Rhinolophus ferrumequinum: one gene and its partners. The protein of the gene in region 1 interacts with the protein of each later gene in a pairwise test. Links are inferred from orthologs where the notes say so. Each region holds a gene or a part of one and is shown in the gene's direction. Other genes may lie near its edges. The genes, in order: NMI, BRMS1 and TXLNB.

The links.
Region 2: the proteins of NMI (region 1) and BRMS1 interact in binary tests that used the Homo sapiens proteins (3 or more experiments, as listed by UniProt). The link is inferred for Rhinolophus ferrumequinum from reciprocal best matches to the Homo sapiens genes NMI and BRMS1.
Region 3: the proteins of NMI (region 1) and TXLNB interact in binary tests that used the Homo sapiens proteins (3 or more experiments, as listed by UniProt). The two-hybrid records come from large-scale screens. The link is inferred for Rhinolophus ferrumequinum from reciprocal best matches to the Homo sapiens genes NMI and TXLNB.

Annotation. Positions count from the first base shown.
Region 1 is NC_046291.1:69,058,834-69,062,583, forward strand, and holds the start of NMI (N-myc-interactor), read left to right. Parts: upstream 1-861; 5' UTR 862-904; intron 905-978; 5' UTR 979-1,169; intron 1,170-1,547; 5' UTR 1,548-1,640; exon of another isoform or gene 1,641-1,656; intron 1,657-3,750. UniProt on the Homo sapiens protein: Acts as a signaling pathway regulator involved in innate immune system response.
Region 2 is NC_046294.1:5,589,821-5,593,570, forward strand, and holds the start of BRMS1 (breast cancer metastasis-suppressor 1), read left to right. Parts: upstream 1-784; 5' UTR 785-934; intron 935-3,459; exon of another isoform or gene 3,460-3,475; 5' UTR 3,476-3,482; coding exon 3,483-3,621; intron 3,622-3,715; coding exon 3,716-3,750. UniProt on the Homo sapiens protein: Transcriptional repressor. Down-regulates transcription activation by NF-kappa-B by promoting the deacetylation of RELA at 'Lys-310'. Promotes HDAC1 binding to promoter regions.
Region 3 is NC_046286.1:84,910,502-84,914,251, reverse strand, and holds the start of TXLNB (beta-taxilin), read left to right. Parts: upstream 1-1,474; 5' UTR 1,475-1,604; intron 1,605-3,750. UniProt on the Homo sapiens protein: Promotes motor nerve regeneration. May be involved in intracellular vesicle traffic.

The DNA of each region.
Region 1 (3,750 bases):
ACAAAAATAAGACAAAAGAAGAAACGAGGTTGAACTAGGTAACTTCTAGAGTTCATGCTCTTTGAAATTCTAAGGTAGAAGAGAAGTAATTCTCAAGTTGCAACAGATGGAGTTTTTGTACTTAACTGGACTAATGAGCACAACAGTCATCATACACCACTTGATTTTTTTGTTAGAAGAGCCACTTTAGATTCCCATCAATATTACTGATATGAAGGAATTTGACTTTTATCAGTTATTTTAGACCACTGTATCGGTTACTATATATGACTATATATCGGTTACTACATAGCTCTACAAATTAGAATTTATGCCTGGAAATTAATTTGGTACATTTACTTCCTGTCCTGTATAAGCAAGTGCAGCTGTGGGGTGGTTCTTTGTGTAGGATTAAGAAACACTGCAGTTCTTGAAATAAGCCAGATGGTTTTATTTTCAAAGGAAAGGATCACACCTAGTGAAGAATTTATTTACAAGCTTCACAACAAAATAAAAGATTAAAAGAAACTTTCAAGGGACATGGGTCATAGAAACCCACTGAACACCACAGCTTCCCAACTCCTGGGCCCAGAGGACATTGCAAAAGACACAGAAAAGTTGACCTTGTGCTGGCTGTAAACATTTGTAGATTAAGGTTATAATGACCAAGACATTACAATGAGAGTTATACAATCTGAATAGACTCCCGTTTTGACTTGGTTTCAATCCACTTTTCCAACAGTAGGTCCAGTAACATACACACACACAAGACTGGTTTTGAATGCATGTCCTAAAATTAGAGTTAATGGAAACTTCAGGAATACTTTTGGGATAGATACCCTCAAAACAAAAACGAAACAACGACGTTTTAAAAATCGAAAGTGAAAACTGTAACTTGTTAGCGATTAATCATTGGAGACACCAGGTCTGGTATTCCGAGCAATGGTTGGTTTTAAAGAGAATCACCATTTGAGCTGAGTTTTCTCTTTCTTTTTTAAGGACCCAACTGTTCATCTGAGCGACACCCACTCCGGATAAGGCAGCGCCAGCCTCGGGGACCCGCACGTTCCCGCCCCGCTCCCGGGCTCCGGGCGACTCGGCGGCGCTCCTCCCGCGCGCGGCCGCACCAAGTTTCCGGGAAGATCGGGCACTTTGGGCCCCGGGGCGCGGCGCTCGGCGGGCCGAGGCGGGTGAGTGGGGCCCCGTTTCCCGGTCGCCATCCCTGCCCCTAGTTGTCGGGGCTAGAGGCCGGGGGTTCGCAGGGAGCTGGGTTCCACGGGGGCGGAAATGGCGCGCGGAAGGACGGGCTCTGCGCCCCCCGCGCCCCTGCACTGCCCGCTGCCCGGGTCGCTGCGGCGACACTGCCGGCGCGGGGGCGCGCCTGCCCCCCGGCCACTGTGCCTTCTCGAGGCCGGGCCGGCCTCTGCCCCAGTCTTCTTAGTTTGCTTTGCTTCTTTGCGGAAACGGAAACTTAAAATGGTTTGCGTTTCCCCTCTGCTCATGCAGCGTCTCTAGAGATAGTTCTTAGAAAAACCGATTCCTTAAGGGATTTTTACTCTCCTTGGCAGGTGCAGTGTTTGGCAGTCGTGCCTTACTTTGAAGAATATGCAGGGAAAGTCTTGAAAGAGATATCCAAAGGAGAAGACGGTGTTTCCCTGTCTGTACGACGCACAGAAGGTTTTAAAAAACTATAAATGTGTATCACCATTTTACTAATCACCACCTTCTTCCTTTCCCTCGTTTCCTTCTTTTTGCTGCCAGGCATGCATATGGGAAAATTCGTTTCTATCATGCTGACACCACAATAATATGAGTATATCAGAAAAATAGGTAGTAGATGGGTGGAGGTGATTTGTATTGTTTTTTGTTTTGTTTGTTTCATTCGCTGGCATAACAAATTGCCAAGGATTTAGTGGCTTAAAAACCACATTTATTATCTTAAAATTCTGTAGGTTGGAAGACCTACCTGAGTCTCGGCTAAAATCAACTTGTCTACAGGGCTGCTTTCCCTCTGGGAGGCGACTGGGGTGAAATCTGTTTTCTTGCCTCCCGGTCCTCTCCCCTCCCCGCTTCTTTAGGCTGTCCACCTTCCTTGGCTCAGTGGTGTGCTTTCTCCATCTTCAAAGCCATTAAAGATTACATCTCCCTGACCATTCTTTTGTTAGCACATCTCACTCTGACTGGGGTCTCTTGCCTTCCTCTTTCACTTTAAAGGACCTTAGTGATTCCTTGGGCCACACTGATAATCCAAGATGATCTCGGTATTTTAAAGTCAGGTGATTGGCAACCTCAATTCAATCTACAACCTTAATTCTCCTTTATAGTGTAACCTAACATATTCACAGATTCTGGGGATTAGGATGTGGACATCTTTAAAGGGGCCACCCATCTGACAGCATCAAAGGAAGGCTATTACTGTACATCCCACTCATGCAAATAGGGAAAGTATCCAGATACTAAACATGCCATAAGAAGTTTGGGGGATATTTATAGAGTTAAATATATTGAGAGTCTTTATTATAAGCTTTTACGAATATTGACTTATAAAACAAATAATGTTGCAGTTTCTGCTTTCTGGAAATGTAATAAGAGAACTTCATGTGCCTGGGATGTCCTGAGCAGAATACCTGAGTCAAGATACTGCACAATTTTATAAATTTTGGGTGTTTTCAGTGTGTAAACTTGTATTGTGCTCTGAGTGGGTATAAGGAGGAGTGGACTTGGTCTCTGGCCTCAAGGTTGTGACCTTGGAAAATAACACAGGTACATAAATAACTAAAGCTCCTTTTGGGGAGATAAAAGAAGGAGAAGTAACGTCCTTTGGGGGAATCAGAAAAGGCTTCAAGAACTTGGGGGGGAAGTTTGGGATGGATCTTGAAGAACTCTAGGATTTCATTCGATGGAAATTAAGGAAAGAGGAGAAGAAGGATGTGACATTTTGAGAGGCAGAGGGAAAAGAGCCACCCTTTGAGGGCTCGGTGTGATTAAGGGACTTAATCCAGGAATCGTCTAAATAAGACTGGAAACTAAATTGGGTTAGACCGGGTAAAACCTTGGATGAATGCTGAATGGCATCATAAGGATTCTGCAGTTGTTGGTAGAATAGAGAGCTATGTGTAAGGCATATATCTTTTTATTTTGAAACCATCTAAAACTTACAGAAAAGTTGCAAGTACAATACAAGCAACTTTTTTTCCCAGTGAATTATTTGAAAATACATTTCCAACTTCATGACCCATTGCCCTAGAATTCTTGAGCATATATTTCCTACAAGAAAGGTGTTCAAAATCAGGGATTTAATATTGGTACATTACTGCCATCTAATTCTTGGATTCAATTCAAATTTTGCCAGTTGTCCCAATCATATCCTGTATAACAAAGGACCCAGTTCAGAATCATGCCTTGCATTTAGTTGTGATCTCTTTAGTCTCCTTCTGTGTAGAACAGTTTCTCAGTCTTTTCTTGGCTTTTATGAAGTTGACACTTTTGAAGAGAATAGGCCAGTCTGTGTAATGTTTCTTCATGTTTAGATTCAGATTATGCATCTTTGGCAGGAATATCATAGAAGTCATGCTGTGTTCTTAGTGCAGCCTATCAGATGGCACATGATTTATCTCCTTATTTACTTTGATTATTTCATGATAGTGGCGTCTGCTTGGCTTCTCCACTTTAAAGTTACTTTTTTCCCCTTTGAAATTAATCAGTTTTTTTGTATTTTGAAACTAAATGGTCCTTTCCTCACCAACATTTCAATTTATTTATTTACATCAG
Region 2 (3,750 bases), on another chromosome or scaffold:
GTCCTAGCTTTACCACTAACTAGCTGTGTGGCCTTGAGCAAATCCCGTTCCCTCTCTGAGCCTCAATTACCCCGTCTGTGAAAAGGGAGGTGAGAATACCTACCTCTCAGAACTGTTGGGAGGCTCAGATGAGATGCTATATGTGAAAACATTCTGTAAGCTTCGTACAAATGTGAAGTATTAATATTATTACAGTATTATTGTTGTTATTGTTGTTATTATTAACAATCTTGGGTGGGTAGGCAGTAGGAGAGCAAAAAGTATGAATGGGACAGAGCTGAGAAGTCTGAGTACTTAACAAAATGGGCTTTTTGGAAAGAAATCAGAGAAGAAAAGGCGTTGAGTTTAGTTCTTAGCTTTTGTACAGAAGCCTAAACTTACTGGTTCTCCCAGGCCTCTGCCCTCGGGGCCTCTGGAGAAGGAAAGGGTCTGCAGGTTCTGTACCCTCCAATAGGCTGGGCTGGGTTATTTGCCTACCAATGACAATGTGTAAATAAATAAATGAGTGTTCACACCTACAGCTGGCTCCGTTACTCTCCTGAACCGAGCAGGCGGAGGGGTCGCGGGTTCAACCCTTTCACGCCGGGGGAGGGTGGGGGGAGGTGACCACGGACAGAGGAGCACCGGCGGCAAAGCAAGAAAACCACAAGGGTCTTTTTCCGGAGGGCTGACTGCGCCAGTGTGAACTTCGGCTAGTTGCTATGGAGACCGGTCCGCGGTATCCCAGCATTCCTCGTCCCCAGCTGTCCAATTGTGTGAGCTTCCCAAAGGGCGCCCCCTGATGACGCATACGGAAGCACCGATAGGCCCCACCTCCCAGTAAAGAGAGACCGGCACCGCGCTTCCGGGAGCCGGACGGCGGGGGTGAGCACCGGTCGCCGCGGACACCTGTTGGGAAATCTCTGACGTGAGGCCGGAGGCTCCAATCCGTGCGGTGCGTAACGCCACCTGTGACGCCTGGTTCGGCCTCCGGCGGGTGGATCGGAGCCCACCCCATCTCCAGGGCCGAAGCGGAGACTTAACCTGCCGGGAGCGTGCAGGGCCGCGGGCCCCAAACCCCCTGCGGAAGAGCTAGAGATTCTCCTACCCGCGCGGACGCATACGGGGATGGAGCGGGCGGGAGGCTCCGGGCGCGCCGCGGAGGGGCTGGGTTGGCCTCTTCGAGGGTGGGGAAGAATCTGCCTTCCGTGGAGGCCAGCCTTCGAGATGCTCACTTTCTGAAAAGATAAACTGCATGTGTACAGCGCCTTAAAATTTGCGTCTCCATCCCTTACCCCTTGCAGTCTTAATAACATTCAGAGTAGCAATGGCCATTCTCTGTTTGGCCTGGGGTAAGGAGGGGAGGTTGTGATTTTATTGAGCTCATTCAGTAGAATCAGGCAGCTGGAGTGACTCCCGTCCCCTCTCCCCCGCCCTTTCTGGTCCCGATTACGTTGCATCTTAGAAAGTAAATATCTTTAACAGTGAAGAGGAATTGCAAAATTTGGAAACTGTGGGAACTGAGGCTTGTGAGTGGGAAAGATGCGGCTGGTTTGGAGAACCGAAGGTTTCAGGTTAGGTTCATATTATTTGTGAAGTCATTGAGGAATGTGACTAAACTATGCTCTAGTCCAGTTATTTTGCACAACTCGAACTGGTGTCAAGGAAGGTGAACAGAACACTTTGGGTTTGCTACCACCGAAGGGGCCTGGGGCTACCAAGAAGTAAAAGCCAATGCCTGCCTCACAAAAGTTTGTTTTGTTTAATTTGTATTTGCGAATCCCCCATCGCCATCGCTTGCGTCGGTACTGCGCTAGGTGAATAAGGCGCATGTGCAGCCCTGCCCCGTGAGGCTTAGGGACTAGCTGAGGACACAGACATGAGAACGGGCAAATAGAGAGGAGATGTAAACAAATAAGGCTTCCTGGAGGGAGGGGTTCTATTCCAATGTAAAGGACTACATAGAAGTACCCAGAGAGGTTGCAAAAACATCACAATGAAATAGAATCCCCAGTAGACAGGTTATCTGTTGAGAGGACTATTGAGTCTTCTCAGGAGATCTCTTGGCAGCATTTGGCACTGTCACCTCTCTTTCCTTATGAAAGTCTCTCTCCCCATGAATCGAGTTGTTCCTCCTCTACCTCTTGCTAATTTCCTTCTCCTTTGCAGGGGTCTCATCTGCCCCTTTGGTGACCCGGGGAGTTCCATCATGGATGTCTTCTCATTCCACACTTTCTGCCTTGCTGGTTGCTCCTTCTCTCAGGGCCTGAAGAACTTGCTACATGCCCTTGACCAGATCTCTGCAGCCCAGACTTGTCTCTCAAGCTTAGACCCATGTGCCCCCAACCTTGCCCCTTCTTTCATTTGGGGGTTTTTGCACATGCTGCTCCCTCTATTTGGAATGTTCCCTCCCTTGACCAGCTCAGCCCATCCGTGTGCCCATCTTCCTCTGCAAGTCAGCTGCAGCAACTCCAGGCCCCAGTTAGATTCCTCTCCCATAAGCCCGCTCTCAACTCTTCTCACACCACACTAATGGTCTGCTTCTTTGCCTTTTTCTCCCAGGAACTTGTAAACCACTTGAGGTCAGAGACCGTGTATGTCTGTCTCGCCACTGTGACCAGCACCTACCATTGTGTCTGATGGTACCTAGCATAATTAGAATTCCAATGACGTGAGATGAGTGAAGAAAGGAAGCAATATTTAACAGTGTTCAGGGTTGCTGAGATGTCAGCTGTGATAAGCACTGAAAAATACTGGCTTCAGGCACAGGGAGGTCGTCGGTTTATTCTATAGGATTAGTTTTGGCTGAGAGTGATGATACAGAAACAAATGGGAACAAGCGGGAGGTGACAGTAGGAAGAACAAGTGTACACAGGCCTGGAAAAGTGTAGCTGTGAGGTGGAAACGGGGAGCAGTTCAATGGAATCGGGTGAGGTTTTGTGTTTCTGTTGTTCCTGAATGGTGGAACATACCTGAGCATGTCTAAGAGGGGAGCACCGCTGATAGGAGATCGCAGAGGAAGCAGAAGGAGATGGGACTGGACTCAGAGAAGACAAGAGGTTGTAGAGTGTTCTCAGGATGAGAAGTGGAGGGCATTATAGGCAGAGGGAATAGCATGAGGGGCCTGGGGGCAAGTGCCTGGTGTATTCGAGAATTGGCCAGTAGACGGCAAGGTGAAGGAGCTGGCCCAGTCAGAAGTCTGGGCCCAGGCGCATAGGCAGGGGGAGCCCACCCTTGGCCTTTCCCACCTTATGGATCATCACCTTGGCCAATATTCCCAGGATTGGGATCATCCCCAGGGTCCCAGGGCACGAGCATTTCCGTGGCTTCTGGGAGCTGTGCAGACGGCCACGTGCACCCTCCGCACCCACTGTGTGCTCGGGGTGTGGCAAATCCAGTTCCTTCCCCCGCTGTCCAAGGCTTGGTGTGACTCCTAGTGACCACTTTCCTGCTTGGAGCTGTGGGCAGAGGTGAGTGATGGCTCCACTCCTTCCAGGGTCCAGATGCCGATCCAGCCTCCCAGCAAAGACACAGAAGAGATGGAAGCAGAGGGTGATTCAGCTGCCGAGATGAATGGGGAGGAAGAAGAGAGTGAGGAGGAGCGGAGCGGCAGCCAGACGGAGTCCGAGGAGGAGAGCTCAGGTGAGCCCCCCCCACCCGCAATGCGCACGCATACGCGCGCACACACCGGTGCCCTCCCACTCCCCCGCTGGCCCTGACTGGCCTCTTATCCCAGAGATGGACGAGGAGGACTACGAGCGGCGCCGCAGC
Region 3 (3,750 bases), on another chromosome or scaffold:
TCTTCGTCACTGGAATTCCTTTATCTTGACCTCTCCATGTTGGGTGTACTCATCTATATATAACTTATGCCTCCCCTGAACACAGAGAAAGTGGTAGGGAAAAGTTGGGGGGTAGAATATTTTAGTTTTCCCTCCCTATGCTAACAATTTACCATAAATTTAGTGGCTTAAAAACAATGTAAATTTATTACAGTGCTGGAAGTCAGAAATCAAAAATGAGTTCAGAGCTAAGCCCAGGTATCAACAGAATTATATTGCTTCTGGGGGGTCTAGAGAATAATTTGTTTCCTGCTTTTCCCAGCTTCTAAACACTTCTCTCACCCCGTGGTTTGTGGCCTCGCATTACTCTGACCTCTGCTGAGTCATCAAATCTCATTTTATCACTCTGACTGCCCCTCCCCCCACCCTCTTTCATTTATAAGGACCTTTGAGATTACATTGGGCCCATCCAGATAATTCTGGATCATCTCCCCATCTCAAAAATCCCTAACTTAATCACATCTGCAAAGTCCCCATTCACTGGATAAAGTAAGTAATACATGCACAGGTTCCTGGGGTTGGGATTTGGACTTCTTGGGGTGGCATTATGCTGCCTATCACAGGGGGTGTCACAATGCCCAGCCATTCTCCAGAGCAGAAACTCTGATGGAGGAAACTACTTTGGAAAAGTGTGGGAACACATTCTCCAGAAACAGACAGAAAAGGGGAACGAATGTAGGTGAAGAGAAGCATTTTATGGTGAATGAGGAGGAGGTTCTTTTTCTGAGGGATTAAGGAGCACGTTGAGGGTTTGGAAAGGATAGTGAAGACCTCGAAATGCGGCTGCAGAAGGTAGGAAAGCCACCAACTAAGAAAGAAAAGGTGAAGTGCCCAGGGGCTTATCTGAAATGCGGAGGTGGTTACCCAAGTCAGACCAGGAATCTGAGGTCACGCCAACTACCATGTGCCTGAAGATGATACTAGCCCACTGCCAAGACAGCCGTCTAAATTTCTAATTCAAAATTTATAAATAAACCAAACAATGACATCAGAATTAAAGTAGTTCTCCCACCTCCTTTTTGTTAGGCCATTGTTTTCCTTTTTCCATGATTCCTATAAGAAACCTGACACTAATTAGGTTAGCGTAAGAAGGGGAAAAAAGGACATGAATCATAGGCCACACTGGAAATTAACCAAGAAATAAGAAAAACCAATTCTCTGCCCAAAAGAACAACAATGGTGAAAAACTGTGCTAGCAAAAGGTCTACATACTGAGAGTTTCATTTTTTTTTTTTTTAAAGGAATCAAGATGGAGTCTGATCAGATCTACCAGCTGCTTCCCTTTTCTAAGACATTGACCCAGGAGACAGCTACTGAAGCTTGGGTGTTATTTCTCTCTGCTGTGTCATATGATGTTCCTTTCCCCTCCCCCACCTGCTCTCTTGCTGTGTGTGCGTGTGTGAGTGTGTGTGTGTGTGTGTGTATGTGTGTGTGTGTATTTGGTTTCTCTGTCCCCTTGTAAGAACACAGCCGCCTGCCTGTCTACTGCTGTTGCTGCTGTTCTGACTAACTTTTTGCTGCCCCTTGCCTCTCCTTTCTCTTTCTGCTTAGCTCCTTGCCTTCTGGTAAGTATGACAAACACTCCCCCAAGCCCTGTGAGAAGATGTGGGGTGCGGTTTGTGGTGTTCGAAATTTGCAACTTTAAGATTGCCAGCGAACTGTTGAAGAACTTTCCATTGTTTTATTTATAATTAAAATGTGTTGCTCAGGAAGGGATGTGTGTGTGATAATCTACTGGGACTGCCAGTACAAGTGATAAACTTTCTTTCAGAGGAGGGAAAAGGCAGCAATAAAATTTATGGAAGATAAAATTTAGAAATAATTTTTGCTGTATAATTAATCTAGAAAGAGATAATTTAAAAGTAACAGAGTTCTTTGACTTTGGGTTTTTTTTTCCTCTTGCTGATTTATCTTGAGGCTACTTTTAGGAATTGAGTTTTCCTGTGGTTCACAATGACTCAGTTATTCTGTTTTAAAGTAAACATGGAATATGAGTTTAAAGGCTGTCCGTGGGATTAATATAAAAACATCAATGATTATGGCCTCTGAGGAATGAAGAATAAAGCTATTACAAATAAAATGCTTGCATTTAAACTAACCATGCCAAAACTCCTATGGACAGTCAGTTTTTAAATTCATTGCTTTGAAGTTTGGTTTACTTTAGATTTTATTTCATCCTAAAAAGACTTTTTAACACTTTAAAACCCACATATGAATTTATGCCAGCAAATGTTTACTGTTTTCGATTTGTATTAAAAAGTACTCCATTCCCTTGATTTTCAAGGATAAAGTGCTAAATGCCATGGCTCCTTTTAGAAGAGCTTAAAATAGCTTCTGGCTGGAAGCAGGTGCCATGTGTCTTTCTCCAAGTTCAGGGGAGGCACTAGTTATATATATAGATGACTGTGCCCAAGAAGTAGGTAAGGGTCAGGATAAAGAAATTCCAGTGATGAAGACATGAAGCTGTTTACTGTATCATTTGATAATAAAGTTGGTGGATTACAATGAGTGAGGGGAAAAAAAAATACTCCCTTCTAAATTAATGTGTACTTGGTGAGGACCACAAGTGGGTGGCAGTGTTTGTACGTTGAATTTTCCATTCTTGTTGGCGGCCAAGCATTTGATATCTACTGCCCTGAGAACAGAAGGAGGAAGCTGTGCAGTGCACAGAGCAGCATGTTTGTGTTTTCGCTTTCCATACCTCCACAGCAGCAAAACCTGTGCATTATGAGGATCCTGTCATATTTTTGTCCTGCTAATCAGCACCATCACCACTAAATATCATTTACAAAGGAAATGAACCATAACGTAAAGGCCTAAGCCAAATCTCTTGCAACCCCAGGAATGAGGATAGCCAGAAATCCTGGAATCCTTGACTCAGCTCATTGCTCACTCCATATTTCCAAAGAACCCATATCACACCTGGATAATTTCCTTACTTCATTTCCTCCCTTTGCCTTAAACATGGCCATTTCTTTAAAATTATCAACTTATCCTAGAACTTCTTGACTGAGAAGAAAATGTTGTAATCTGTTTTTTTTTTTCCTAAAAGAATGCCAGTTTTTATACTGGAAAAAAGAAAATGTATTACAGAAATTCAAAGAATTATTATTATAAGCATCACCATGTTTCCATGCCAGTTTGTTTGTTAATTTATAACTTCCCTCATTCTCTGCCTTATTCCAAAAATGATGCTAGTGTACCTAAAAAAAAAAAGTGTTTTCATCATTAATAATTACATGTTGCTCATCTGGGAAAAGGAAAATACCAGAAAAAGCAAGAAAGCATTTCCTGTATCCAGCATAATAATTCATTTATATCAATGTACTCATATTAATCAAATCTTCATTTATAGATTAAAATAGAGTTTAGGGACATTATTATGAAGGATTTTAGTAAGTTAGTAGCTCTTGTATTAAATATTTTAACTTTGTAAAAATAACACCATTTAAAATTTAAATATTTTAAGTGTATACATCCATGTACTTTCAGTGATTATAAATCTACATAGGATTATAGAAGAAAATGGTAACACAAATTGGCTATTCTAAGCAAAATGACAGATAGGGCCATAAAAAACAATATCTTGAATTACTCTGCTAATGTCAACAATAGGAGATACTACTGGAATTTAAAGACCAAAAACAAACTATGCTAAATAGTATGACTTGATTTGGAAAAATGGCGTCCCACTGTTCCTACCTACCTAAT